7 linked regions of the Oryctolagus cuniculus genome follow. Each later gene encodes a partner of the first gene's protein in a complex. Links are inferred from orthologs where the notes say so. Each region holds a gene or a part of one and is shown in the gene's direction. Other genes may lie near its edges. The genes, in order: TMEM17, MKS1, CEP290, TMEM231, TCTN1, B9D2 and TMEM107.

What was found.
Region 2: TMEM17 (region 1) and MKS1 share a complex: the UniProt entries of both Homo sapiens proteins name them as parts of the tectonic-like complex. The link is inferred for Oryctolagus cuniculus from reciprocal best matches to the Homo sapiens genes TMEM17 and MKS1.
Region 3: TMEM17 (region 1) and CEP290 share a complex: the UniProt entries of both Homo sapiens proteins name them as parts of the tectonic-like complex. The link is inferred for Oryctolagus cuniculus from reciprocal best matches to the Homo sapiens genes TMEM17 and CEP290.
Region 4: TMEM17 (region 1) and TMEM231 share a complex: the UniProt entries of both Homo sapiens proteins name them as parts of the tectonic-like complex. The link is inferred for Oryctolagus cuniculus from reciprocal best matches to the Homo sapiens genes TMEM17 and TMEM231.
Region 5: TMEM17 (region 1) and TCTN1 share a complex: the UniProt entries of both Homo sapiens proteins name them as parts of the tectonic-like complex. The link is inferred for Oryctolagus cuniculus from reciprocal best matches to the Homo sapiens genes TMEM17 and TCTN1.
Region 6: TMEM17 (region 1) and B9D2 share a complex: the UniProt entries of both Homo sapiens proteins name them as parts of the tectonic-like complex. The link is inferred for Oryctolagus cuniculus from reciprocal best matches to the Homo sapiens genes TMEM17 and B9D2.
Region 7: TMEM17 (region 1) and TMEM107 share a complex: the UniProt entries of both Homo sapiens proteins name them as parts of the tectonic-like complex. The link is inferred for Oryctolagus cuniculus from reciprocal best matches to the Homo sapiens genes TMEM17 and TMEM107.

Annotation. Positions count from the first base shown.
Region 1 is NC_091433.1:140,426,351-140,429,014, forward strand, and holds the end of TMEM17 (transmembrane protein 17), read left to right. Parts: intron 1-1,227; coding exon 1,228-1,506; 3' UTR 1,507-2,164; downstream 2,165-2,664. UniProt on the Homo sapiens protein: Transmembrane component of the tectonic-like complex, a complex localized at the transition zone of primary cilia and acting as a barrier that prevents diffusion of transmembrane proteins between the cilia and plasma membranes.
Region 2 is NC_091448.1:33,643,763-33,647,778, reverse strand, and holds the start of MKS1 (tectonic-like complex member MKS1), read left to right. Parts: upstream 1-1,216; 5' UTR 1,217-1,293; coding exon 1,294-1,373; intron 1,374-1,740; coding exon 1,741-1,850; intron 1,851-3,306; coding exon 3,307-3,377; intron 3,378-3,776; coding exon 3,777-3,932; intron 3,933-4,016. UniProt on the Homo sapiens protein: Component of the tectonic-like complex, a complex localized at the transition zone of primary cilia and acting as a barrier that prevents diffusion of transmembrane proteins between the cilia and plasma membranes.
Region 3 is NC_091442.1:90,786,509-90,790,008, reverse strand, and holds part of CEP290 (centrosomal protein of 290 kDa), read left to right. Parts: intron 1-842; coding exon 843-1,015; intron 1,016-1,652; coding exon 1,653-1,815; intron 1,816-3,264; coding exon 3,265-3,365; intron 3,366-3,433; coding exon 3,434-3,500. UniProt on the Homo sapiens protein: Involved in early and late steps in cilia formation. Its association with CCP110 is required for inhibition of primary cilia formation by CCP110.
Region 4 is NC_091449.1:57,934,800-57,938,905, reverse strand, and holds the start of TMEM231 (transmembrane protein 231), read left to right. Parts: upstream 1-1,306; 5' UTR 1,307-1,409; coding exon 1,410-1,548; intron 1,549-1,641; coding exon 1,642-1,811; intron 1,812-4,106. UniProt on the Homo sapiens protein: Transmembrane component of the tectonic-like complex, a complex localized at the transition zone of primary cilia and acting as a barrier that prevents diffusion of transmembrane proteins between the cilia and plasma membranes.
Region 5 is NC_091452.1:8,276,571-8,280,070, forward strand, and holds part of TCTN1 (tectonic-1), read left to right. Parts: intron 1-1,549; coding exon 1,550-1,670; intron 1,671-3,500. UniProt on the Homo sapiens protein: Component of the tectonic-like complex, a complex localized at the transition zone of primary cilia and acting as a barrier that prevents diffusion of transmembrane proteins between the cilia and plasma membranes.
Region 6 is NC_091449.1:13,268,852-13,272,922, forward strand, and holds the start of B9D2 (B9 domain-containing protein 2), read left to right. Parts: upstream 1-1,271; 5' UTR 1,272-1,499; intron 1,500-1,573; exon of another isoform or gene 1,574-1,795; intron 1,796-1,868; 5' UTR 1,869-1,872; coding exon 1,873-1,960; intron 1,961-4,071. UniProt on the Homo sapiens protein: Component of the tectonic-like complex, a complex localized at the transition zone of primary cilia and acting as a barrier that prevents diffusion of transmembrane proteins between the cilia and plasma membranes.
Region 7 is NC_091448.1:52,667,230-52,671,191, reverse strand, and holds the start of TMEM107 (transmembrane protein 107), read left to right. Parts: upstream 1-1,162; 5' UTR 1,163-1,387; intron 1,388-1,608; 5' UTR 1,609-2,982; coding exon 2,983-3,069; intron 3,070-3,184; coding exon 3,185-3,247; coding exon of another isoform or gene 3,248-3,252; intron 3,253-3,343; coding exon 3,344-3,444; intron 3,445-3,962. UniProt on the Homo sapiens protein: Plays a role in cilia formation and embryonic patterning. Requires for normal Sonic hedgehog (Shh) signaling in the neural tube and acts in combination with GLI2 and GLI3 to pattern ventral and intermediate neuronal cell types.

The DNA of each region.
Region 1 (2,664 bases):
TTCTCTCAGCACCGCATCAAAGTGCATCAAGGTTTTCATAACAGGTTAAAGGCAGTGAGGTGTGGTGGAAAGACATAAGCCTGAATTTAGTCCCTGGCTCCAGCTTTGCTCATCTGCTATCGTGGTCTCTTTGCTTAATCTCTTGAGCCCCGGTTTCATCATCTTTAAGATGGGGAAAATACACTTCACGGGCTTGTTGGGATTAAGTGAAATGACTGATATCAAGTCCCTGAATATAGTAAGCACTGAAGAATTGATAATGTTCTTCTCTCCTTATCAGTCTCAAAGATATTTGGTCAATTGACCATGTTAATTTGGATCCTGAATGAGAAATCAGGAGAGAAAGGGGAGTTATAAACGAATTTCCTCAGCCAGGCCCGTGTTTTCTGAGTCGTTACGCTGCCTAAGCATTTATGGTTGCCAGGGTGTGGGAAGGATGCCTGAAGAGGTTGTGGTTTTCTAGGCCTTTCATAACGATGCTCCACCCAGCCCATCTTAGTGTTTTGCTTGGTATTTCTTAGCCCAGCCTTCCATTCCAGGTTGATGTGTTGGTTCCCAGTCATGCTCCTTTCACATGCTTGCTTACTTACCTTCTTGCCTCTTCCTCCTTTTGCACAACTTCCAAAGTTTATATCCTCAGGGCAGGCATTTGGCCTAGTAGTCACAACACCAGCTGAACCACTCACATCCCGTATCTGAGTGCCTGAGTTTGAGTTCTGGCTGTGCTCCTCATTTCACCTTCCTGCTAATGTTCACCCTGGGAGACGGTGGGCAGGTCCCTGCCACCACATGGGAACCTGAATTGAATTCCTGGCTCTTGGCTTCCACCTGGTCCAGACCTGCCAGTATCTGGAGGGTGAACCAGCAAACACAAACTCTTTTTCTCAAATAAAATAAATAAGTAGTTTTTGAATAAATAAAGCCTACATCCTTATAGTTTTTCTTTCACTTACACCAATCACTGTGTTACTACTTGTACCACTTAGTCCAATATCTCTAAATTCTGCAGTTAAATATTCAATGAAGTTTTTAGCATTCTAGGACTGTTTCATATAAGCTAGTTTTCTGATCTATACTGTAGGTTCTCTGAGGAGAAGGACTACATCACCCTCCTTTTGAATTATTCAGAGTCCATAATGTAGATCCTTAGTAGTGTTAAATCCTTGTTTATCTGTGTAAGCAAAACACTGCATTGGCCTGATCCTTTTCCTCATCATGTCATTGCAGGTTCCTGAGTTGGCTGGCTTTTGGCTTTTGAGCCTTCTGCTGCAGTTGCCTTTAATTCTTTTCTTGCTTTTTAATGAAGGCCTAACAAATCTGCCCTTGGAAAAAGCAATACATATCATCTTCACCATCTTCCTTACTTTCCAAGTTGTTTCAGCATTTCTTACCTTGAGGAAAATGGTCAATCAGTTGGCCACTCGTTTCCACCTCCAAGACTTTGACCGGCTCTCTGCAAACAGAGGAGACATGAGAAGGATGAGGTCATGTATAGAAGAGATTTGACCCAGTGCTGCTGAATGAAAATCTCAAAGTTGATTCTAGAAGACTGCGAGAGTTAGGAAAACATCAGAGACCTAGCATGAGGAAAGGTACAAGGGAAGTGTGTTTACTCTCAAGCTCTGAGTCCCAAGGACAGGGGCAGTGATAAGGCTGTGCCATGCATGAAAGCGGCGTATGAACACTGAAACTTAGATGCTGTCCACCTAATGCCAAATTTCTTTGTTGTTTGATGATGTTGGTCTTTTTGAGTGTGAAAAATTCTGCGTGGTAGTTGTAAGTTTACCAGTTTTACTGTAACATTTCCATTTCAGATCTGTAACCAGAAATGTGTACCTTTTAAATGTGTCAGTTATCCATATCTTGACTGTGTATCAGACCATTTTTCTTGAAGTGCATGGAAATGCTGGTCAATATTATTGTGCATCAGACCATATTTATAAACCAAAAAACAAAATTTTTGTATTTGCTGTGGTTAACTTCTAACCCTAGTCTTAGAAGGTATACTGATGTAAAGAAGAAAACAGATTATCATGGTATTAAGGAAATATTTTTGTCAAAGAATTATAACTTTCATAAAACCATGTTCAGTATTTGTGTGGCAGTATGCAAAATGTTTTCATAATAAATTATCAAATATTTATGGTAAGCTATCAGCAACAAACAATTCCTGTTTTATATAGATCTTTTGGACTATGGGTTTATTATTTCACACTACAGAAATGCAGGAGAAGGAAGGGGAAAGATTTCAGAGAACCTTCTTTGTAATGAGCACTCTAATAGGCACATTAAATTTAATTTTGTGTTCTCATGTACTCATCATATTCACTGAAGAACTACTTCATATCCATTAAATTAACATGAAGTTTTATTTGGAAACCAGTCTGTTTATATATATAGCAAGAACTAAGATGGCCAAAGGAACCACACTCTTCATTTTTTTTTTTTAAGATTTATTATGTATTTGAAAGGCAGAGTGAAGGAGGAAGAGATAGAGAGAGAGAGATTGATCTTCCATCCACTGGATGGATGTCTCCTCAAATGGTTTCAATAGCTAGGGCTGGGGCAGACAAAAATTAGGAGCCAGGAATTCCATCTGGGTTTCCCACATGGGTGACAAGGGCCTAAGCACATGGGCCATCATCCACTGCCTTCCCAAGTGCG
Region 2 (4,016 bases), on another chromosome or scaffold:
TTAAGCCCTTGGCCTTCACTAACTTCATCTGTTAAATGGGAATAAGGGGCCGGTGCTGTGGCATAGCGGGTAAAGCAGTTACCTGCAGTGCCAGCATCCCGCTTGGGCACTGGTTCTAGTCCCGGCTGTTCCACTTCTGATCCAGCTCTCTACTGTGGCCTGGGATAGCAGTAGAAGATGGCCCAAGTCCTTGGGCCCCTGCACCCGCGTAGGAGACCTGGAAGAAGCTCCTGGCTCTGGGCTTCAGATCAGCAGCTCCAGCCATTGCGGCCAACTGGGCAGTGAACCAGTGGATGGAAGACCTCTCTGTCTCTCTGCCTCTCCTTTTCTCTGTGTGTAACTCTGACTTTCAAGTAAATAAATAAATCTTTTAAAAAAATAAATGGGGATAAAAATGGACTTAGGGTTTCCATGAGGATTGGGAACAATGCCAACAAAGTTCCCAGGCTAAATTAGCTCCTACCTAAATGGTGCTATTTATGGAGAGTCCTTGGCAAGGCACAAACAGCAGCTATGGCACCCCAGGTGTTCAAGGCCATGCAATCAAACTGATTCCTGAATTCAGGGGACAACTGCTAACCCTGTTGGGGAAGTAGCAGATGTTAAAGGGAGCCAGCTGAGGTTAGGGCATGTCCTGAATGTCACTCTGTGGGCTTCTCAGAGGGCCAGGGCAGCACAGCAGTTAGTTTAATAATCTGGAACTAACACACAGGGGAGGAACCTGTGCCATGACTACATCTCTTCTTTCCTGCTGCTGTCTTCCTTGTTTTAACTGTTGGCCCTCCCTGTTTTTTCCTTCTCTGGCCCAGAGAATACCAACACAACGACTAATAAGTAGGACACCCGCACCCCCCCTCCCCCGCCCCTTGAAGAATGTGCGTTCGTGTCTGGGGAGTGCCACCACCTTCCCTGATTCCTTTGGGATTAATGGGTGCATTCTTTCAGTCTCCTCCGCCCGTTTTTCTTGCGTTCAGCGGAAGACAGTACGGCACAGTGGGAAAACAGGTCTAGTCTCATCACCCTGCATTTACGCCAAGTGGGCTGACGGCTGTGCCTGGCCCCTCATTTGTACAGCGCCTTAAGTCCCGCCTCAGGAGTGAGTGATCCTCGTTCGCACAAATGGTAAAGCGGACATTCGCAGGCTCCTGCACTGCCCGCTCTGGGGCGCTAGGGGGCGACGCCGCGGCGGGAAGGGCGGGTTGCGTGCGTAGCGTCTCCGCCCCAGCGTCTGCGTTGCCAGGGGAACTGGGGGCGGTGTGCTTTCCGGCGCAGTCGTTGCGCGTCGCAGATATCATGGCGGAGACCGTCTGGAGTACTGACACCGGGGAAGCAGTGTATCGCTCCCGGGACCCTGTGCGCAACCTGCGCCTCCGGTAGTCGCGCCGCCCCAGCCCGGGGTGCTATGCTTTTATGCCCTTCGAGCCTGAACTTGTCGTTCTTCTGAGGCCCCCACTTGCGCTTACAATCCCGATCTTCCTCCCTGGTCTCTCTACATCGCTCTGCATTCCCCAGATCTTCTGTACGTAGGGCTTCCAAGCTCGCCTTCCACACCCAGCCAGGTCGTTTCAAGGCCTGTCGCTCTCCGATTCCTCAAGCCCTGGCTCCGCAGTAGTCCTCTCACCCTCTCTTCCCCGTAGGGCCCACGCCCCACCCGGCGCCTGCCCTGTGTTTTGTATTTCCCATGCTTGCTCTGCGTTGTGTGTGTTGTAACGCGTATTCGAGCTTCTGTTTTCTTCACAGAGTCCACCTGCAAAGAATCACCTCAGGCAGCTTTCTTCATTACCAGCCTGCGGCCCAGCCTCGGAAGGACCTCATAGACTTGGCCACCTTCAGGCCTCATCCCACTGCCAGTGGGTGTCACGGTGGAGTCGCAGCCCCCTGGGGACCTGGGCGAGGGAGGGCCTGGGGGGTAGAGGTTCCCGTTAGGACAGAAGAGACCCAGGCCTGTGGTGTTCAGAGAAAGCTGCACCTTTTTTTTTTTTTTTTTTTTTTAAGTATTTTTATTTCTTTGAAAGACAGAGTTACAAAGAGAGGTAGAGACAGAGAGAGGTCTTCCATCTGCTGGTTCACTTCCCAAATGACCACAATGGCCAGAGCTGAGCTGATCCAAAGCCAGGAGCCAGGAACTTCTTCCAGGTCTCCCATGCGGGTGCAGAGGCCCAAGGACTTGGGCCATCTTCTACTGCTTTCCCAGGCCATAGCAGAGAGCTGTGATTGGAAGAGGAGCAGCCGGGACACGAACCGGCACCCATTTGGGATGCCGGCACTGCAGGCTGGGGCTTTAACCCACTGTGCCACAGCGCCGGCCCCAACTGCACCTTTCTTACCTAGGAGAAATGGAAGGCAAAGAGATTGTGTTGCTTGCCTAAGGTCACATAGTTGGAGCCTGCACTTGAACCAAGGTGGTGTTAACTACTTCATCGTGTTATTTGTGGAAATTGAATAAGATACGATTCCTGCTATCAAGATACTGAGGCAAATTGTGGTCCAGTATAGTGGCAAAAGACAGATAGCGTATATCTGATGTTATAAATGGGCCTGGCAACCGTACCATTTATGGCTTTTTGTTCGTTTGTCTAAGAAAGATATGCTCAAACTCTACATATGCATGTAAATACTTTTAAAAACAATTTTACGATTGAAGACTGCTTGCAGACTGTGCGTTTGAACACCCACAGTGTTCTTGTGGTTCTCCTTATCTGGGAAGCCATAGGTGTGAGGAACAGAGGCTGGTGCTTGTATTGGGCCATTAGTGTTTCTGCCTTTTGTTTCTCTGCACTCAGAAGTATTCCTCTGTGAAATGGGGGTTTTGAAGCTGTGTCTCTGAAAAAGATACTCACCCCTGGAGTGTGTTAGATCTGGTTCTTTAACAAATCATTTATTTGCCTTCCCTGCCCTCTCCTGACACTTGGTCTCTGACATGATTGTGATTCTAGCTGTATGGCTTCAGGAACAATTAAAATGAAAATGCCAGGGTTCTTACCTAGCAAATGCAGGCAGCTGGCATTGAAGAAGAGCTGGCTGGTCAACCTATATCCTAGGCTCAGTTCCTGACAATGAGTTAAATTGACTACTTCCTGGAAGGCAGAACTACATTTTATTCAAATTAGAATAGTGATTAAGACTTTGTGGGTTTTAATCTTGGCTTCAACTCCTGCTAACTCCAGTGTATCCTTTGTCTACATTGAATGCTTAATAAATCACTGAACTCCTGCTGGTTTTGTGGCAAACATAAGAGTAGGGGCTTTGGTTACAATCAACCTCAGAGCAAGAAATGGTGGTGACGTAACTCTGTTGTCTTTGCAGGTGGACATCGCCCAGAGGAAGATGAAGATGAGGAGGTGGTCATTGGGTGGCAGCAGAAGCTCTTTAGCCAGGTGAGCCGGTGTCGTTCACTGCGTGGTCTCCCTCCACCTGGCTGGTTGTACATTGCCAAAGTGATTTCTGGGATGGTCGTAGCAATTTGTACCTCCCTCTGTTGTGTTTACAAGGGCAGTGTAATATAGTGACCGCCACCGCTCAGTGTTATGACCCTGGGTGAGGCACGTTTCCCCACCGTGGACCCTACGCCACCTATAACAATGCGGTTGGACTAGAGCTTCACCCCTTTGCTCTCTAACATTCTTGGGTCCCCTGCCCTCCATTGGTTTAAATCTATGAGAATTAATTATGGAGCTATGTCAGATAATATCAGCTCTCTAGGACTGATTTGGTAGTAGTTCTAGGATCAGAATTTTGAGGTATCTCGGATGTCTGTTTCCTTGTGGCGACCTCAGTTTGAAGTAGATCTGTACCAGAATGAAGCAGCCTGTCAGAGCCCTTTGGATTACCAGTACCGGCAAGAGATCCTGAAGCTGGAGCAGTCGGGGGGCAGGAAGAACCGACGAATCTTTACCTACACCGACTCTGACCGCTACACCAATTTGGAGGAGGTATTGTTCTTCCCAAGGCCCTGTAGCTTCCTTCTTTGCCTCCCCTGGCTTTTTGGCTTCACTGGGTTCTGGGTGCTAAATCGG
Region 3 (3,500 bases), on another chromosome or scaffold:
TTCCCTCTCTCTCTCTCTGTTCCTGTCTCCATCTCTCTTTGTAACTCTGCCTTTAAAATAAAATAAGCAAATTTTTAAAAAAATATTTTCTGGGACTGACATTGTGGTACAGCAGATTAAGCCACTGCTGAGGGAACTGGCAGTGCTGGTTGAGTCCCAACTGCTTTCCTTCTGATCCAGCTCCCTGTGTAATGAGCCTGGGAAAACAACAGAAGATGCCTTACCAAGCACACAGGAGACCAGGATATAGTTCCTGGCTCCTGGCTTCAGCCTGATCCATTCCCAGCTATTGCTGCTGTTTGGGGAGTGAACCGATGGATGGAAGATCTCTATCTCTATTTCTCCTTCTCTCTGTGTTACTCTGCCTTTCCAATAAATAAATAAATAAATCTTAAAAAAAAGAAAACATTAAAAAAATTTCCTAAATTTGCACATGAATTTTGTATTTATATCTGATGAATGACATTACCACACTTAGCTGCTGGAGTGTAAGTGGAAATTTAGCCTTTGTTTTGGATGACCATGTATCCTATCAAACATCCATACCTCTGTTATAATGGAAAAAAGGGACATTGAATATTACAACTGCTATCTTCCACAATGATCAATCCTCATAAAACAGTGTTCCACAACCTTCTATCATCCATACCCTTTCAGCTAAGACAGTTTTACTGAGCTTTGCTTTTTAGTTAATTTTCTTAATAAAACCAAAACAAACTTTCATGTTACAAATATAAAATTATAACATTAAGGATGCTTTGTTAGTAGTATAATACTGAGGAGTTATTTAAAAGAATGAATAGTCAACTAAATTAATAAATGATGTTTGTTTTACCCTGTAGGTGCTTCTACCCTTTCTCAACAGACTCATTATATGAAAATTCAGTCAAAGCTACAAATTTTAGAAGAGAAAACTAAAGAGGCTGAGAGAACAGCTGAGCTGGCTGAGGCTGATGCTAGGGAAAAGGATAAAGAATTAGTTGAGGCTCTGAAGCGGTTAAAAGATTATGAATCGGTATGTATTTTTATCTTGTCAATCAAGGAGCTTAGAATTATTCTTGCTGCGCACAGTTTGGTGCCATTTACTGCATACCATTTAAGAAACATTACATAAGCGTCTTTTAATAAGGGTTATCCTAATTAATTTGATAAAAGAGTTTGCCCAGATCATCAGCTTTGGTGAGGCAGTAGGATTAGATTCTTTGTTATCTGTGTCCGTTGTGCCACCATGTAGATGTGACATCACTTGCTATTTTGACAAAATTTATGAGACGGACAGTTTTGTTGCCTGCCATGTCAACATGAGCTGCTTTGTATTTTTTATATTTATTGATCTGATTATCAATGAAATAAGGAAGCTATTGATTTACATATTCTGTTAGTATTGTTAATGTGATTTTTTCCCAGTATTTTGTTAAGAGTTTTATATAGAACATTCTGAATCACTTTGCCATTAGCACGTTGTACTTGGAAGTTCCAGCTGTTCTATATGCCTTCATTATTATTACTGGATTTATAAAGCACCCCCCAAAAAAACCGTGTAGTGATATAAATCATAGATATTGTACATTTCTCATTAGACTTACTAATAAATTCACAAATTTGGTACATTTATTCAAATTATGCTTTATATTAGTTTGGATATTTTTCAGGGTGTATATGGTTTAGAAGATGCAGTTGTTGAGATAAAGAATTGTAAAAACCAAATTAAAATAAGAGATCAAGAGATTGAAGAATTGACAAAGGAAATCAATAAACTTGAATTGAAGATCAATGATTTCCTGGATGAAAATGAGGCACTTAGAGAGCGTATGGGTAAGCTTTTTTTTAAGATACATAGTTTTCTCAACTCTTTCAAGTCTTTTTTGGTTTGCTTTTTGCTTATTATTATTTTCAAATTGTTGATTTTTTTTCCAAGTATATATTTCTAGAAAAACATTTAAAATGAATGAAATGGAGCCTCTCTGATTGAAATGGGATTGGGGATTTCATGGGGTAGGTATGATAGGTGGGCAGATAAATAATTTTTTTATTCAGTCTAATATCTCCTCAGTAATTACTGCTTAGTTAAGAATGAAAGTCAGTTGTATTAATACAATATATCAGAAGTTAGCATTTTTTCAACAAAAGTAGGGATTGTATGACCCATGTTAGTCTGCAGAATGTTATTGTTTCAGATGAATTATGAGAACCTTGAGAAGTACTATATAAACCTTTTAAGACTTTTAAAGACTTTTACGGATTTTAGGATGCTTTAAGTTTTATTTTAGTTAAGTACGAGGTTTCAATTCACTAGGAAGTAATTCATAATTATGGCATGAAAGTTTACATATTAATTTCATAAAATTCATCAGTGAATGTTAAATTACTGCAGCCCAATCTAAGTTGCTTCTTTAAAAAAATAAAAATCTAAATATTAAATTTATTATACCTGCTAAATATCAGTTAATGCTTTCTTAGAGTTATATTGACCATTTATAAAAACTTTTCTGTGAAGGAAGGAAAGGAAAATATTTTATATATAGATTATTTGTGGAAAGTATCTAATTAGAACCCAGATTTATATTAGGACCCCAAGTTAGACTTCTCATCAACTTGACCTATCAGATCATAGCCAGGAATCTGGCAGTTCTTAAAGATGACTTCTGAAAAGTAGCTGTCACAAACGCCAGAAATCTGTTTTTTAAAGTCTCCAAGTCTTGGTTTATAACTATATTTATTAGACCATTTTAATATATATTTTTTAGAGTATAGATGCATAGTGATAGCAAGTTAGGAGATGAGCACACTAAAAAACTAATAATGATAATAAAATTGATATTAAAATTAATACTTATTGCTATGTGCAAGGCAATATACTGAACAATATTTGAAATAATTTCATTCCCCTGATAACAAGCCAAAAAATAAATACAGTATTATGCTTACAACTTAGGTACTAGTTAAAAATAGGAATTAAGCCACCCAACTCTGATTTGTTCCTAAGCTTCTCTTCTGTAATACATTATAGAATCTCTGTAACAGCATGACATGGAGAAAAAAGATCCCGATATGTTCTTGTCAGGAATTCCATTAATAATTATAGTAATATATTAACTTGGGTTATACTTCAAATCTTAAAAATTCTTGCACACAAAAAATACTGTCTGTGTTCTTCAGTCTTAATGGCTGGATGAATGATAACCAGTTGCTTAGTGGTATATGACATTTTTGTATTTCATTTGAAAGTTTTTAAGCTTTTAATTGTGTTGCTTTCTATTTTAGGCCTTGAATCAAAAACAATGATTGATTTAACCGAATTTAGAAACAGCAAGCGATTGAAACAGCAGCAATACAGAGCTGAAAACCAGATTCTTTTGAAAGAGGCAAGTGTTGTGTTTGACTGTGTTCTTGGTTGAATTAAAGAGAAATACTAATGATTCATACTTCACAGATTGAAAGTCTAGAGGAAGAACGACTTGATTTGAAAAGAAAAATTCGTCAAATGGCTCAAGAAAGAG
Region 4 (4,106 bases), on another chromosome or scaffold:
ATAGCAGAGAGCTGGAACCGAAGCAGACAGTCAGAAATCGAACTGGCACCCATATGGGGTGCTGGCCCTGCAGGCGGTGGCTTTACCCACTACACCACAGCACCGGCCCCCACACTGACTCCTGATCCTGCAACTGGAGTCTTCAGGGCCTTTGGATGGAGAACTTGGCTGTGGACCATTGGTTTTATTATTTATTTTTCTTTTTTTTTGTTGTTTGCTTACTTTTTTTTTTCTTTTCCTTTCTTTTGGATCATAGGTTTTAAAAATCCTTCCACCCTGTTCAAAATACTGGCTTGGCAGAGAAGGCGGTGGGCAATCAATTAGCAATAAACCAATGTTATCTTTGGGAAGTACGACTTAACCCACTGGGGCAGCACTGTGGTGCAGCGGGTTAAGCCACCATCTGCAGGGCCAGCATCCCTTGTGGGTGCCAACTGAGTCCTGGCTGCTCCACTTCCAATCCACTTTCCACCTGGGAGAGCAGCAGAGGAGGGGCCAAGTGCTTGGGCCCCTGCACCCCAGTGGGAGACCCAGTTGAAGCTCCTGGCTCCTGTTTTTGGCCTGGCCCAGTCCTGGCTGCTGCGGCCATTTGGGGAGTGAACCAGCGGATGGACGATCTCTCTCCCCTTCTCCCTGTAACTCTTTCAAATAAATTATTAAACCTTAAAAAAAAAAAAAAAAGGCTTAACCCACTGCACAACACGTCCCAGAGGGGAGTGCCAAGTCCCAGCTGGTCGGCTTCCACTCCAGCTTCCTGCTCGGGCATCCTGGGAGGCAGATGATGATGGCCCAGATATTCAGGCCCCTGCCCTTAAGTGGGAAACCCAGAGGGAGTTCCTGGCTCCTCGGGCCATTTGGGGGAGCGAACCAGCAGTTGAAAGATCTCTGCCTCCCTCTGTCACTCTTTCAAATAAATATTTTTAAAAAGAAATGTATCTTGTTTAGTAGCTCCCTCTGAAACCGGCAGCCGAACCTGCACCCAATACAGGTAACAATGTACGTAGTAATGACCCTGCCCGCCCCAGAGCCGAGGGTTTGGGTCCTGTGCGCTGTCCTGCTTCCGGAGCCACAGAACACAGAGGCGGAGCAACCCGGCCTTGGCCTTCGTCCAGGACCAGGTCGAGGAGCGAGGCCACGCGTGTGCGACCTGCGGGCATCAGCGTGGACCACTCAGCCGTCCTCAGCCGTCCCGAAGCAAAACACGCAACGCCCCCCTCTCGGTGGCCCGTCCACTGGCTGACCACGCCCCTCTCCAGGTAGCTCCGCCCCTTCTAGAGGCCCGCGCCGCTACTATTGGTCCTCCTCCCGGCGCCGCCGGTTGCCGTGGAGACCACGACGATGGCAGCCGGGAACAGCCAAACTTGGTCGTCCCTTCTCGGTTTGCGTAGGGGTCTCGGCGTGCGCCGTCCATGGCGCTGTACCAGCTCTACTCCCACCCGGCCGAGCGCGGCTACCGCGCGGGGCTCTGCTCCAAGGCAGCGCTGTTCCTGCTCCTGGCCGCCGCGCTCACCTACATCCCGCCGCTGCTGGTGGCCTTCCGGAGCCACGGTGAGCTTGCTAGGCCGGTGCGCGCCACCGCCTCCGCTCGGGACGGCCTGCCTGACCTGTCCCCCTCTCCCTCTCACGCCCTTCTTCTCTCAGGGTTTTGGCTGAAGCGGAGCAGCTACGAGGAGCAGCCGACCGTGCGCTTCCAACACCAGGTACTGCTCGTGGCCCTGCTGGGACCGGAGCGCGACGGCTTCCTGGCCTGGAGCACCTTCCCCGCCTTCAACCGGCTGCAGGGGGATCGCCTGCGCGTCCCGCTCGTCTCGGTGCGTGGCTCCCGCCTGGAATTCCGCTTCCCCCAGACGCCCAGGTACCCGGGCAGCGCTGCGTGCTGACCCGGGCCGGGCACGGTGCGCGCTCGGGGTCCCGCGGTGTCGCCGCGTTCACGCGGCGCGGCGGAAGCTGGGGGTCGGGGGCGGGCGTCTCCGGGCAGGACTGACCCTCGGAGACCGGGCGCCCCGCACCTGTTCCCCGGCAGGGCCCCGGCGGAGGGAGCCTGCCCCACGTGATCTCAGAGGCTGCTCCAGCGTGCATCTGTCCGGGGTAAAATTGAGACTTTTTCTTTAAGAGGGCCGAAACTTCTAGTTTTCCTTCTTCCACGTCCTTGAGGTGAGTGGCCTACAAGACAAACTCGTGTAAAAAATGTTCCCAGCAAAAAGATGATAGGTCGTATGAATAACTAGAAAGTTTGTTACAGATAGTTTTTCTCTGGTTACTTCTGAAATTTATTGGCTTTTTTTTTTTTTTAAGATTTATTATGTATTTGAAAATGAGAGTTGCACAGAGAAAGGAGAGGCAAAGCGAGAGAGAGAGAGGTCTTCCTGATGGTTCACTCCCCAGTTGGCCGCAACGGCCAGAGCTGCACCGATCCAAAGCCAGGAGCCAGGAGGTTCTTCCAGGTCTCCCAAGTGGGTGCAGGGGCCCAAGCACTTGGACCATCTTCTACTGCTTTCCCAGGCCACAGCAGAGAGCTGGATCGGAAGTGGAGCAGCCGAGTCTCAAACCTGCACCCATAAGGGATACCGGTGCTTCAGGCCAGGGCGTTAACCCGCTGCGCCACAGTGCCAGCCCCTATTGACTTATTTTAATTAGGAAAGTACCCAGTTTCCCACGTCGGTGTCAGGGGCCCAGGTACTTGGGCCGTCTTCTGCTGCTTTCCCAGGAACAGTGGCAGGAAGCAGGATTGGAAGTGGAGCCGCCAAGACTTGAACCGGTGCCCATAGGGGATGCTGGCGCTGCAGGCAGAGGTCAAACCCACTGTGCCACAGCACTAGCCCCAGGTTTTTTCTCCACATGTTTATATTCCTCTCTATCATGTGCTTCTGGTCATTTGAGTCTAAGAAATACCATGCAGGCTTGAGATAATTGTGAAGACAAGGATAAACCATTAAGTTTCATTCATTCATTGTTTTTACGGGTTCGTGCAACACAGCTGCTGTTGGCCTCTTAGCTCTGCAACCAGAAACCAACCACTCCCTTCAGTGCACCGCCCTGGTCCCCCCTTGCATCTGGCGTGCAGTTCCAATTTTAATGAGAAGCCAAAACTAACTCTTAATGTTTATGGTACCCATACCATGAGATCACTTTCATACTGGGTAATTTTGGGGCTGGCACTGTGGTACAGCGGGTTAAAGCCCTGGCATTCCATATGGTCACTGGTTCGAATCCTGGCTGCCCCACTTCCGATCCAGCTCCCTGCTAATGTGCCTGGGAAAGCAGTGGAGGATGGCCCGGTGCTTGCGGCCCTGTATCCATGTGGGAGACCTGGAATAAGCTTCTGGTTCCTGGCTTCAGCATGTCCGAGCCCTGGCCATCGTGCCATTTGGGGAGTGTACCACCGAATGGAATTTTTTTTTTTTTTTTTTTTTTTGACAGGCAGAGTGGACAGTGAGAGAGAGAGACAGAGAGAAAGGTCTTCCTTTGCCGTTGGTTCACCCTCCAATGGCCGCCGCGGCCGGCGCGCTGCGGCCGGCACACCGCGCTGATCCGATGGCAGGAGCCAGGAGCCAGGTGCTTCTCCTGGTCTCCCATGGGGTGCAGGGCCCAAGCACCTGGGCCATCCTCCACTGCACTCCCTGGCCACAGCAGAGGGCTGGCCTGGAAGAGGGGCAACCGGGACAGAATCCGGCGCCCCGACCGGGACTAGAACCCGGTGTGCCGGCGCCGCTAGGCGGAGGATTAGCCTAGTGAGCCGCGGCGCCGGCCTCGAATGGAATATTTTCTTCCCCTACCCCCTACAGCCAGTGCGCCACAATGCTAGCCCTGGTTCTTAATTCTTTTTTTTTTTTTTTTTTTTAGATTTATTTATTTATTTGAAAGTCAGAGTTACACAGAGAGAAAAGGAAAGGCAGAGAGAGAGAGAGGTCTTCCATCGCTGGTTCCTTCCTCAATTGGGCACGACAGTGAGAGCTGCACCAGTCCAAAGCCAGGAGCCAGGAGCTTCTGCCAGGTCTGCCACACAGGTGCAGGGGCCCAAGGACTTGGGCCATCTTCTACTGCTTTCCCAGGCCACCGCAGAGAGCTGGATTGGAAGTGGAGCAACTGGGACTCGAACCAGCACC
Region 5 (3,500 bases), on another chromosome or scaffold:
CCGCAAACGCCAGGAGCTGGCTGGGAAGAAGCCAGGAACTCAGTCTGAGTCTCCCATGCGGTGGTAGGGACCCAACCATCTGAGGCATCGCCTGCTGCCTCCCAGGGTGCACGCTGGCTGGAAGCTGGACTGGGAAGCAGAGCGGGACTTGAAGCCAGGCGCTCCTGCGGCCCAGGCAGCATCCTAGTAAGCGTGCCGAGCATCGGTCCCGTCTGCTGAATTGTTAAGGTGTTTGACAGGATGAAACTCGGCACTGAAAGTCCAGGTTATCATTGTCACTTAAAAGCTGCTACCCCTCGGGGGCCGGCGCTGTGGCATAGTGGGTAAAGCCGCTGCCTGCAGTGCTGGCATCCCATATGGGTGCGAGTTTGAGTCCCGGCTGCTCTGCTTCTGATCCAGCTCTCTGCTGTGGCCTGGGATAGCAGTGGAAGATGGCCCAAGTCCTTGGGCCCCTGCACTCGCATGGGAGACCTGGAAGAAGTTTCTGGCTCCTGGGTTTGGATTGGCCAGTTGGGGAGTGAGCCAGTGGATGGAAGACCTCTCTCTCTCTCACTTTTTCTCTCCCCCACTCTCTCTCTCCACATACACACACTCTCTGTCTCTCCTCTCCTGTCATCTCTCTCTGACTTTCAAATAAATAAATAAATCCTTTAAAAAAAAAGTTGGTACCCCTCGCTCATGCATTATTGTCTGAATTACCAAAGATATTCCAGCACTTGAGCAGGTTTGCTGCTTGCCTAAAAGCCTGTGAGTGTGAGTTCGACTTCAGAGTTGCAGACGTAAGTGAACAGTGAGGCACCACTGAAAACACTCTCTCCGTGCGGGCGTTAGGTGGTCCCCCAAATTGTGTCCAGAGCAGAGGCTTAGGAGCCTGTGATTGTGAACTGCTGGCTCTTGTGAGCAGGCAGGGGTTTCACGTGTGCTGGCTCTTTGGCCTGCTTTTCTTTTCTTTTTCTTTTTCTTTTTTTTTTTTTTTTTAAGATTTATTTTATTTAGTTGAAAGACACAGTTACAGAGAGTGGTAGAGACAGACAGAGAGGTCTTCCATCCATTGGCTCACTCTCCAGATGGCCGCAACGACCAGAGCTGCGCTGATCCGAAGCCAGGAGCCAGGAGCTTCTTCCCGGTCTCCCACGCAGGTGCAGGGGCCCAAGCTCTTGGGCCACCTTCTGCTGCTTTCCCAGGCCCTAGCAGAGAGCTGGATCGGAAGAGAAGCAGCTGGGACTAGCACCAGTGCCCATATGGGATGCTGGTGCTTCAGGCCAGGGCTTTACCCGCTGCGCCAAAGCACCGGCCCCTCTTCGGCCTGTTTTGAAAATTACTTATGTTTGGGTTGCATATTCACTTACCACATCAGGTGGAGCACAAGCAGAACTCCCTGGGTGAGTCCTGGTCAGCCGCTGTGGGGTGCTCCGCCTGACCGCCTGCTGCCCACCCCACCCCACAGTGCAGAGAAGCGGTTCTTCTGGTGACGCTGGTGTGTGGTGGTGGCGGGGGCAGTCACCTCCTGCTGACTGTGCTGCTGTGACCCCTGCCCTTCTCCCTGCAGTCGCTGCTCTGTGTGTGTGTGACCTGTCCCCAGCACAGTGTGACGTCAACTGCTGCTGTGATCCCGACTGCAGCTCCACGGATGTTAGCGTCTTTTCTGCCTGTTCAGTTCCAGTTGTCACGTAAGTCTATGACACGTGCAGGTTTGACAAGATTTGACCAGGAAAATAAAATTTGGGGAAAGTGAAAACTTCCCCAGACTGGAAAACCCAAACCTGATTTCCTATAGTTTTCACCATTCAGAAGCTGTGTTGTCCAAAGCAAGATGTAAATGAGTAGCTTTCTCTTATTTGCATCCAGCCAGAGAGTACAGGCAAAAAAGAGAGTGAAATCTAAGGAGTATGATGAGATCTCTCAGTGTTTGGAGGTAGTCATACTCCAGTTTGACTTTTTCATATTAGTGAATTAGTCTCGTGTGTAATACAGGCTGACAATTGTAGTTTATACCTTTTTTTAAAAAGATTTATTTTAATTATTTGAAAGGCAGAGTTACAAAGAGAGGGAGAGACACACAGAGAGACCTTCCATCTGCTGGTTTACTCCCCATATGGCTGCAATGGCCAGGTCTGGGTCAGGCCAAAGCCAGGAGCTCCAAGCTTCTTCTGGGTCTCCCATGTGGGTGCAGGAGCCCAAGCACTTGGGCCATCCTCCACTGCCTTCCCGGGCCACAGCAGAGAGCTGGCCTGGAAGAGGGGCAACCGGGACAGAATCCGGCGCCCCGACCGGGACTAAAACCCGGTGTGCCGGCGCCGCTAGGTGGAGGATTAGCCTAGTGAGCCGCGGCGCCAGCCCTCAAATAAATAAATATTAACAAAACAAAAAACAACCAACACTTGGAAAAGATTTATTCAGGGTAGGATCAATTCATTATTCAGAGAAAGCTAATTTAATTTAACTTGATAGTTTTAGCAATTTATACTTGGCTGATTGAACCCTTTATAAATTTTTAAATGTGTTTCTCATTGTATTTGAAAGGTGGAGAAAGATCTTGCATCTATTGGTTGACTCCCCAAAGGCCCACAACAGCCAGGGCTGGGCCAGGCTGAAGGCAGGAGCCAGGATCTCAATCCAGGTCTCTCATTTGAGTGGCAGGGACCTAAGTGCTTGAGTTGTCGTCTTTGCCTCCCCAGGTGCATGTTAGCAGGAAGCTGGATTGGACCCAGGTGCTCTGATATGGGATGCAGATGTGCCAAGTGGAATGCCCCAAATGCCTGCCACCCCTGGCCTTGAGTGAATCCTTTTTAAAAGTATAATGGGTTGGGGCCGGCGCTGTGGCGCAGCAGGTTAAAGCCCTGGCCTGAATTGCCGGCATCCCATATGGGCACCGGTTCTAGTCCTGACTTCTACTCTTCCGATCCAGGTCTCTGCTATGACCTGGGAAAGCAGTGGAAGATGGGCTAAGTCTTTGGGCCCCTGCACCCAGGTGGGAGACCTGGAAAAAGCCTGGCCTAGCTCCTGGCTTTGGATCAGCGCAACTCTGGCCGTTGTGGCCGTTTGGGGAGTGAACCAGTGGATGGAAGATATCTCTCTCTCTCTCTCTCTCTCTCTCTCTGCCTCACCTCTATCTGTGTAACTAACTTTCAAGTAAATAAATATATCTTTAAAAAAAAAGTATAATGGGTTTTATTCTGTTAGGATCTTTTTTTTTTTTGACCATTGGGAAATCAAACCTATTTTTAATATTGTAAAAACTGTTGAAGAATGGGTTGTTGCAATTAGGTTAATTTTCTTCTGGCTACTTGGACTACAGCTTGAGTCTATTGAAAATCATTCTGCTTGGGGCAGGTAAAGCTGCCTCCTGTGAGGCCAGCATCCCCTGTGGGCGCTGGTTCAAGTCCTGGCTGCTCCACTTATTTTTTTTTCTAAAAAAGATTTATTTATTTATTTGAAAGGCAGAGTTACAAAGAGGCAGAGAGAGTGGGGGTCTTCCATCTGCTGGTTCATTCCCCAAA
Region 6 (4,071 bases), on another chromosome or scaffold:
GCCGGCGCTGCAGGCCCTGGCTTTAACCCACTGCACCAAAGTGCCAGCAGGTAGTTTGATTTTTTTTTTATTAAGTATTAATTTAAAAGGCAGAGTGCCAGGTGAGAGAGAAGAGAATGAAAAAGGAAATCTGCCATTTGCTGGTTACCTCCTCAGAGGGGGCAACATCAGGGCCTGGACCAATTCAAAGCCAGGAGCGCGTGCTGCATTCCGCCCTCCAAGCTCCTGAGTCCACTGCCTGCTGTCTGCTCAGACGCACCCCAGGAATCTGGGACTCAGCGGGCGCTCTGAGGTGCAGGCGCCACCAAGCCGGCCCCTGCGGGCCTATTGAAGACATCCATAGACGGTGACTCCTTCAGTCTGGAACAATCCCACAAGCTGGGTGCTGTCATTCACCCTGATGGGGGACAAACGGGAATAGATGCAAATGACGCTGGCCTCAAGTCTTCATGAAGCAGAAGCCCTGTGTACCCCACCCCGTGTGTCCGCGAGGACCAGGACCTGACGCCCTGCAGTCCTCGTTACCAGGGCTGCACGGAGCAGGCACGCACGACCGTGGCGTTCCCAGCTGTCTGTCAGGAACCTTCTTTCTCGGATGGCGCTACCTGTGTGCATGCTGTCCTGTGCACCTTGCTGCCTCCCCGGTCCTCCACGTGTGCAGCCCCCGCGGTAGGAGGCGCGGCTGGGCGGGACTCCCGGTCCTGAGGACCAGGCTGCCCTGGACGCGGAGGCGGGGAGAGGCGCTCAGGACCTCAGGCGCCCGCGTGCACCCGCCCCACGGCCCGGACCGCTGGGCCCGGGGACGCCGCTCGCTCACAGCACTGGCGGCGAACGTGCAGTCGCTGGGAGGGCCCGGACCGCTGGGCCTTGAGCAGCCTGGGGAACTCCGCAAGGGAAGGGAAGCCCCGCCCCAGCCTCTGAGTGTCTGAGAAGAGGTTGTTTCCGAAGTCGAGGCCGGGGGATGCACAGAATGACCCGAGGGAATTCCCCCGAGCTCAGGCTCAAGTCTCTCATGTGGGGTTCAGGACGGGAGACAGGTGTTCTTTAGGGGGAGGAGGCGGGCCGCGAAGCTTATTTTGACACATTTCCTGGAGAGGCTCTGCAGCACAAACAGTCGGCGCTCAAACTTCCCGGCCACACTCAAGATGGCAACTGCCCGACCACGCCCCCAACGGCGGATCCCGGGGCCGGGGCTTGGGAGAGGCTACGGAGAGATGTCCATCACGGCATTGCCCCGCCCCCGAGGACAGCGAGCACCAATCGGCCGCGTGCAGGGCGGGGGCAAGGCCAGGGGAGGAGCCTGCTGTTGTCCCAGCAACGGCCAGGGAGCCTGAGGCGAGGGCGGTCGCGGAGGTTCGCGCCTTAGCGCCCTTGCTGTCAGGGAGGTCCCACGGGAGGCGCGAGGCCGGCGTCGCTGGCGCCCGCGAAGAGGACGGAGTCGGCCCAGAACCAGCATCCGGCTGCCGCATTCGCTCCCACTAGCCGTTAAGCTCTGTGAGGTAGGAGTGACGCATGCGCAACGAGTAGGGGCGGGGCCGAGGTGTTCGGAGGCGGGCCTCGATTCAATACGCATGCGTCGTCGAGCCTGTGGCGGGGCTATCAGCCGCGGGGAGGCGGAGCTTTGATGGCTGTGGGTGGAGCTCTCGGCCCCTTAGCGGGACTTAGCCAGGTCAGGAAGAGGTTTAAGGAGGGCATAGTTAGGCACCGGTTCCCAAGTCTAGGGCTACTCCCCCCATCTCCCGGGGAGACAGAGTCGGTGGATAACTCTGCATCCTCAGAGGGTTGACAAAACCAGGTTGGTGGCCTTCTGCCCCTTGCTTGGGCCTCAGTTTCCCTACTCAGAGCTGATTGTTTCTTTTCCCTCCCAGCGCCATGGCTGAGGTGCACGTGATCGGGCAGATCATGGGGGCCACCGGGTTCTCGGAAAGTAGCCTCTTCTGCAAGTGGGGCATCCACACAGGTATTCCCCCCAGGCCTGGTCACTGCCCACCAAGACCCCGCGCTCTCCCTGGACCCTCCGCCCCACCCCGGGTCCTCCTCTCCCCATGGGCTTTCAGCACTCCCGGCCCTGGCCAAGGCTGGCCGCGTGAGGCCCGCACTTCCTTCCTGCCCCGTCTCCGGGGACCCTGGCTCCCACCCTCGGCATGCATGGCCATTGACGATGATGGGCTAGGGGGAGACCCCATCCACACGCTTCATGTCAGAGCGCTCCTGTTAACTCCACTTGCTGCCTTGGGGGTGTGTCCTGGGATCCTCCCCAGCTTTCTCGTTCTTTGACTAGCAGCCTCCATTTATTGAGTTCTTACTGTAAAGTAGAAGTTTGCACCCCAGACTTACAGAGGAGAGGCCACATCCTGTCGTCAGAATGCCTTTCGCTCTGAGAAGGCAGCAATCATCCAAGTCCACACGGCCCAGCAGGGACTTGGAGACCCAGTGTTTCTGTAGGTCTGCATGGAGGCCAGACCTTGTAGAGGTGCAGTGTGATGGCCAGGGTCATAGGCAGCCACATCTGGGTTCAGATACTAAGTCCCCATGTATGTATCTGTGGCCTCTGGACTTGACCTCTCCAGCCCTCGGTCTCCTTGTCTGAGAGGAACGGCACGGTGTGGATAGCAGCTGAGAGGCGGTGTGGCGTCGAGGTTAGGAGCACAGACTGCCTGGGTCCTAACCAGGTGTTTATGTTTTTTAAGGTTTATTTATCTATTTGAAAGGCAGAGTTACAGAGGCTGAGGCAGAGAGAGAGAGAGAGAGAGAGAGAGAGTCTTCCATTCGCTGGTTCATCCCTCAAATGGCTGCAACGGCCAGAGCTGAGCGAATTTGGAACCAGGAGTTGTTGGGTCTCCCACGTGGGTGCAGGGGCCCAAGCACTTGGGCCATCTTCTCCTGCTTTCCCAGGCCATAGTAGAGAGCTGGATCGGAAGTGGAGCAGCTGGGGCTCAAATGGGGCCCATGTGGGAAGCTGGCACCGTAGACAGCCTCTTATTAATAGGTGACGTTAGGGCCTTGTTTGTGCGTCTGCTTCCTTGTGTGCACATGGGAGCAGTAACAACGTGTGCCTCGCGGATCTTTGCCAGGCCTAGGGGAGCATGCGCAGCACGCAGAGCAGGGCTGGCTGGTGCTGTGTGCCTGGCTCGCGGGTGACTCCGACAGGGTCCCATTAGTGAAGCCCAGGCACGTGGCTGCCCAGCCCCAGTAACAACCTATGAGGTAGACGTGGCTGCGTCTCGGGCTTGGGTCCCTTGGACCTGACTTGGATGGGTGAAGTCGCAGGATCAGAGTCGGGCTCAGGAGTCAGACTCCATGTCTACCCGGGACCCCAGCACTCACCTGCTCTGTGATCCCGGGCTGCTGTCCTTTTCTTGGGGCTGTTTAAGTAATCTTGTGTCTACGCAGCCTGACTCAGGGCTTCCCTCACCAAGGCCAGAGGGAGTCATGCTTGGCTTTTATTATCGCAGGTGGCTTTGGGGCATTGAATCCAGCAGGGAGCTCAGAGACAGTGGCCGAGGGGCCTGGTCGCTGCAGTTGGACATTTTACAGACTTCTGCGCTTGGGGATCTTTGGGTGCTGTGGTCACTGCTGTATCCCCAGAGTGGAGAACAGGCTTGGCATACCCTAGGTGCTCAATAAATGTTCATGGAATAATTAACCAAGTGACTTCCTTCTCAGAGCCTGTTTCTGTACTTGGAAAATGGTAATCATAGCACACATAGCTTCTAGGGTCACTTAATTGTCCCAAAAAATATGTATCGACCACCTTCTGTATACCACGCACTGGGGATCCCGCCATGTGCATGGGCCAAGCTCTCCTGAAGCTCATTCTACGAGCGTCAGACACTATATAAGCCGCTGAAGAAACTTAACTCAGTGATTTCCAGTGGCGACAGTGCTGGGGAGAGAGAGAGGCAATGGCTATAGAGGGCGGGTGTTTAGCTCGGGGTTAGGACCTGCACATCCCGCCGCACACCTGGCTGCTGGCTTAGCTCCCTGCTAATGCCAGCCCTGGCAGGCAGCAGGGATGGCCTAAGTGACTGGGTTCCTCCCGCTTACGTAGGAGACATGGGTTGTGTTCCC
Region 7 (3,962 bases), on another chromosome or scaffold:
AAAGGTAGAATGAGAAGCTCGTGTGCGGCGGCGGTGTCGGCAGCGGCTGCAAAGAGAAGAGTTTGGCGCGATGTCTCATACCATTTTGCTGGTACAGCCTACCAAGAGGCCAGAAGGCAGAACTTATGCTGACTATGAATCTGTGAATGAATGCATGGAAGGTATTTGTAAAATGTATGAGGAACATCTGAAAAGAATGAATCCCAACAGTCCGTCTATCACATACGATATCAGTCAGTTGTTTGATTTTATTGATGATCTGGCAGACCTCAGCTGCCTTGTTTACCGGGCTGATACCCAGACATACCAGCCTTATAACAAAGACTGGATCAAAGAGAAGATCTATGTGCTCCTCCGCCGGCAGGCCCAACAGGCGGGAAAATAATGGAGTGGAAGCAGTAGGGGGATGGGGGTGGGCTTGGAACACAGGTGTGTACAGCGTGCTGTAGTGGGAGTTTTGTATTATAGTGATCCTGTTTCCACTTGGTACACTCTAGCCAGATTGAATGTATCAGATGAAGTGTGAGAATGTTGTTCAATCTGAAACCCCCATTGCCCCTTTTTTCTTTTCTTTTTCTTCCCTTTTTTTTTTTTTTTACTTAAACATTTTTATGAGGATTTAGATGGAATTTTTTTGTCAGTTAATGTTGGTTCCAGAGCTTCAGACTGTTGAGATCTGCTTTATAACAGTCACTGTACTAACCCTTAGAGATGGGGTGGGGGGTGGCTCAGTTTAGTTACATCCTCAAGGCAAACTCTTAGTGGAAAATAAATGTTCTTTAGTTATAAAAAAAAAAAAAGGTAGATTGAAATACACAAAAGATGTTAAAATCTATGTGGTCACCATGCTACTAAAAAGATCTAGTTGTGTTTGTAGGACACTACTGAACCGGGATTCTGAAAACTGGCAAATAATGGAAAAAAAAAAAAAGGACCCATTTATCCTGCCTTTCCTGTATGACTCGTATCTCATGGAAAATTCTTACTGATAAAAGAATTCTAGCTGGTAGATGCAGAAGAGGGCTCGAATTAGGCCATCCCCATTTTGCAATCGCTATTGAAATCATGCAGTTAGGCAATGAGGACCCGTGGTACCATTAGGTGAGAATGGATGAAGAATTTTATCACGGGTGGCTCAGCCTGACCGCACCCGAAGCCACCACTCAGACTTCAGCACCACAGACAGACAGACACACAGACAAGCAGGATTCCTGATGAGGTGAACAGAAAGTACAAACCATCCCTCGGGATGTGATCTTACCAGAAAACTGAATGACACATAGATCAACCATTAGACCTGACCATCAGTTTGCAGGAAACACAGTGCCAGGAGAGAATGAAATGACGCCACACGTGGCCCAGTATCTTCAGCAAGAAAAGAAGGAAGGTGAGGTGATGGGGAGGAGGGCAAACCCAAGATTAACAGAGATTTCAGACATGTCAGCCAAGTGGACTTTATTTGTACCCCAATGCACACGTGTGGGGTTGTGGTGGAGGGGAGGGGGCAACAAAGCTGACCACGTGCTGACAACTGTTGAGGCAGAGCAGTGGCCCTCCCAGGGGTTTGTTATACTGTTTCATTTTTACGTTGTGTTTGAAATTTCCTAGGATGCCAAAAAATGAAAAGTTTGCAAGTTCTTTTGTCACCAATTCAAATGCTGAGATACCGAATCCAGCCCTGGAGTGAGTGGCCACCTACGGGAGGACAGCTGGTCACCCGCAGCACAGCCCATGGCCACCAGCAGGCTCTAAAACCCAGGCAAGAAACGACTTTCTCTGAGGCAAGTTTCTATAAACCAAGGTTGTGGACAAGGACAAAGCAGACATAGGCTGCCCACTCCCTGTTCATGAGTCCACACCTAAGGACCTGAGAACTCGGTTTGTACTGTCTAGCCCGTCTCCTAGGCAGAACGCCTACTGAGCAGAATGCTCCAAACCTCCAGCTGTTGAACGCAAAATCCTTGGGTCACCTTGACTCTCCCTTTTCCTCACCCACCCACAGGCCCCGAGCCAGACCCTCTCCCCAATCCTTCTGCTTTGCTCCATCGTCTTTGCTTCACCCTGTCCTTTCTGGATACTTCTATGGCTTCCTCGTTAGTCTCTCCATATTGCAACCTGGGTCGTGGAGAATACGAATCTGACCACGTCGCGCCTGGTGGCTGCAAGGCCTGCCGCGACCACGCTCCACCTCCTTTTGGGCTGCCTACCACTAGGCTTTGCAGTGCAGGCTGACTTGAAGGCTGGGGTTACTCTCCTCAGAAGCGGGGAGGGAAGCCCCTTGGGTGTGCGCAAGCAGCAGGGGTCTTCCTGGAGCCCGTGCGGCCGGTACCTCGGAGACCCCGGAACCAGAGCTGAGCCTTGCGTCCCAGGCAGCTCCAAACCTCCTGTGCGGGACGCTTCGTCCACGCTCGCCCTGTCCAGTCCCGGCGGGGCCGTCCCTAGGCTGAGGCTGCCACCATCTTCTGCACTATGCAAATCCCTCACCGAACCCGGCAAAGATGTCTGGGGTGCTCCGACCACCAAGGGCTCCGTGACAACGGGCCTGCCGGACAAGGTAGGTCCAGTGAACGTTCCACGTTGGGCTCAGGGCACAAGGAAGCTACGAGGACGGAAAGGGAAGACCGCGTCTGAGCCTCCAACCTAAGACCGGCACGCCGGCCGCAGCAGTCCGCGAGCACCTCCTCCGCGGACAGGCCATTCCCGGCAATGCAGCCTGGGGCCGCGCCGCTCCGGACCTGAGCAGCCAGCGAACCCCCGGACGTAGTCCTCCGGTTAGGAGGCTGGCGGCCGCAGCGGGGTCCCCGAACACGGCGCACTTGCACGACGGCGGCTCGAGAATTTACGGCTCTCGCGAGATCTTCAGAACCCGAGGCGCACGGTCCGCGTACGCAGTTACCAAGGCAACGGGGCGGCCCCTGAGGCGCGCGAAGGCCGCGGGCCGGGAGAGGTTTCCCAGCGCCGCCGCCCGCGGCCCTGAGGAGCATGAGCCGGATCTCGGGGCTCGTGCCCTCCCGCTTCCTGACGCTGCTGGCGCATCTGGTGGTCGTCATCACCTTATTCTGGTCGCGGGTAAGACCCACGGCCGCCACTCCGCGTCGCCATCTCGCCGTGGTCGCCGCGCCCACCCCGCCCGGGGTCTCAGCCGGCCTCTCTCACTTCCTTTCCTTTTCTGCCCGCTCCCCAGGACAGCAACGTCCAGGCCTGCCTGCCCCTCCGATTCACCCCCGAGGAGTATGAGAAGCAGGACGTGCAGTGAGCTCTTGGGGGGGTGGGGGTTCGAAGGAAGAGGCGGTGGGAGTCCCGGAGGCCGGGGGTCCTGAGCCGCTCCCCTTCCTCTCTGCAGGCTGGTGGCCGCCCTCTCGGTCACCCTGGGCCTCTTTGCCGTGGAGCTGGCCGGCTTCCTCTCAGGAGTGTCCATGTTCAACAGCACCCAGAGCCTCATCTGTATCCTTTCTGCCCCCACGACCCGTTTCCAGCGCGACTCCCTTCAGCGACCCCCTTCCCCCCAGGAGCCCCGCCTCTGCTTAGGCAGTGCAGGGATTTGACACAATCCTCAAACAGTTGTGGATGCCGCTGTGCACCGGGCCCTGGAGGTAAATGGGGGTGAGGCGGAGGCAGACACACACACACACACACACACACCCCACTATCCTCTAGGAGGGGGTAAAAGAGCCAAGGATTGAGGGAGGCGCTTGACTCTCCAGTTGCGGGCCTCCTGGTGGAGAGTGATTCCAGCAGAGAGGATCAAGTCGCTGTCCGCATTCCTGTGGGGTCCATGGGGGCCTGCTCTGACCTCCCCTCGGGGGTGCAGGCTGGCCCCTCCATGTGGGGTGAGGGTAGCCTGGGGTCTCGGCAGTGCAGGCTCAGCGCAGGCCGCTACACGTGGGCCTGTTAAAATCAGAAGGCAGGGCTGCTGACTCCCGCCGTCGCACAAGGCCTGGGAGCTCCACCACTGGCCTGCC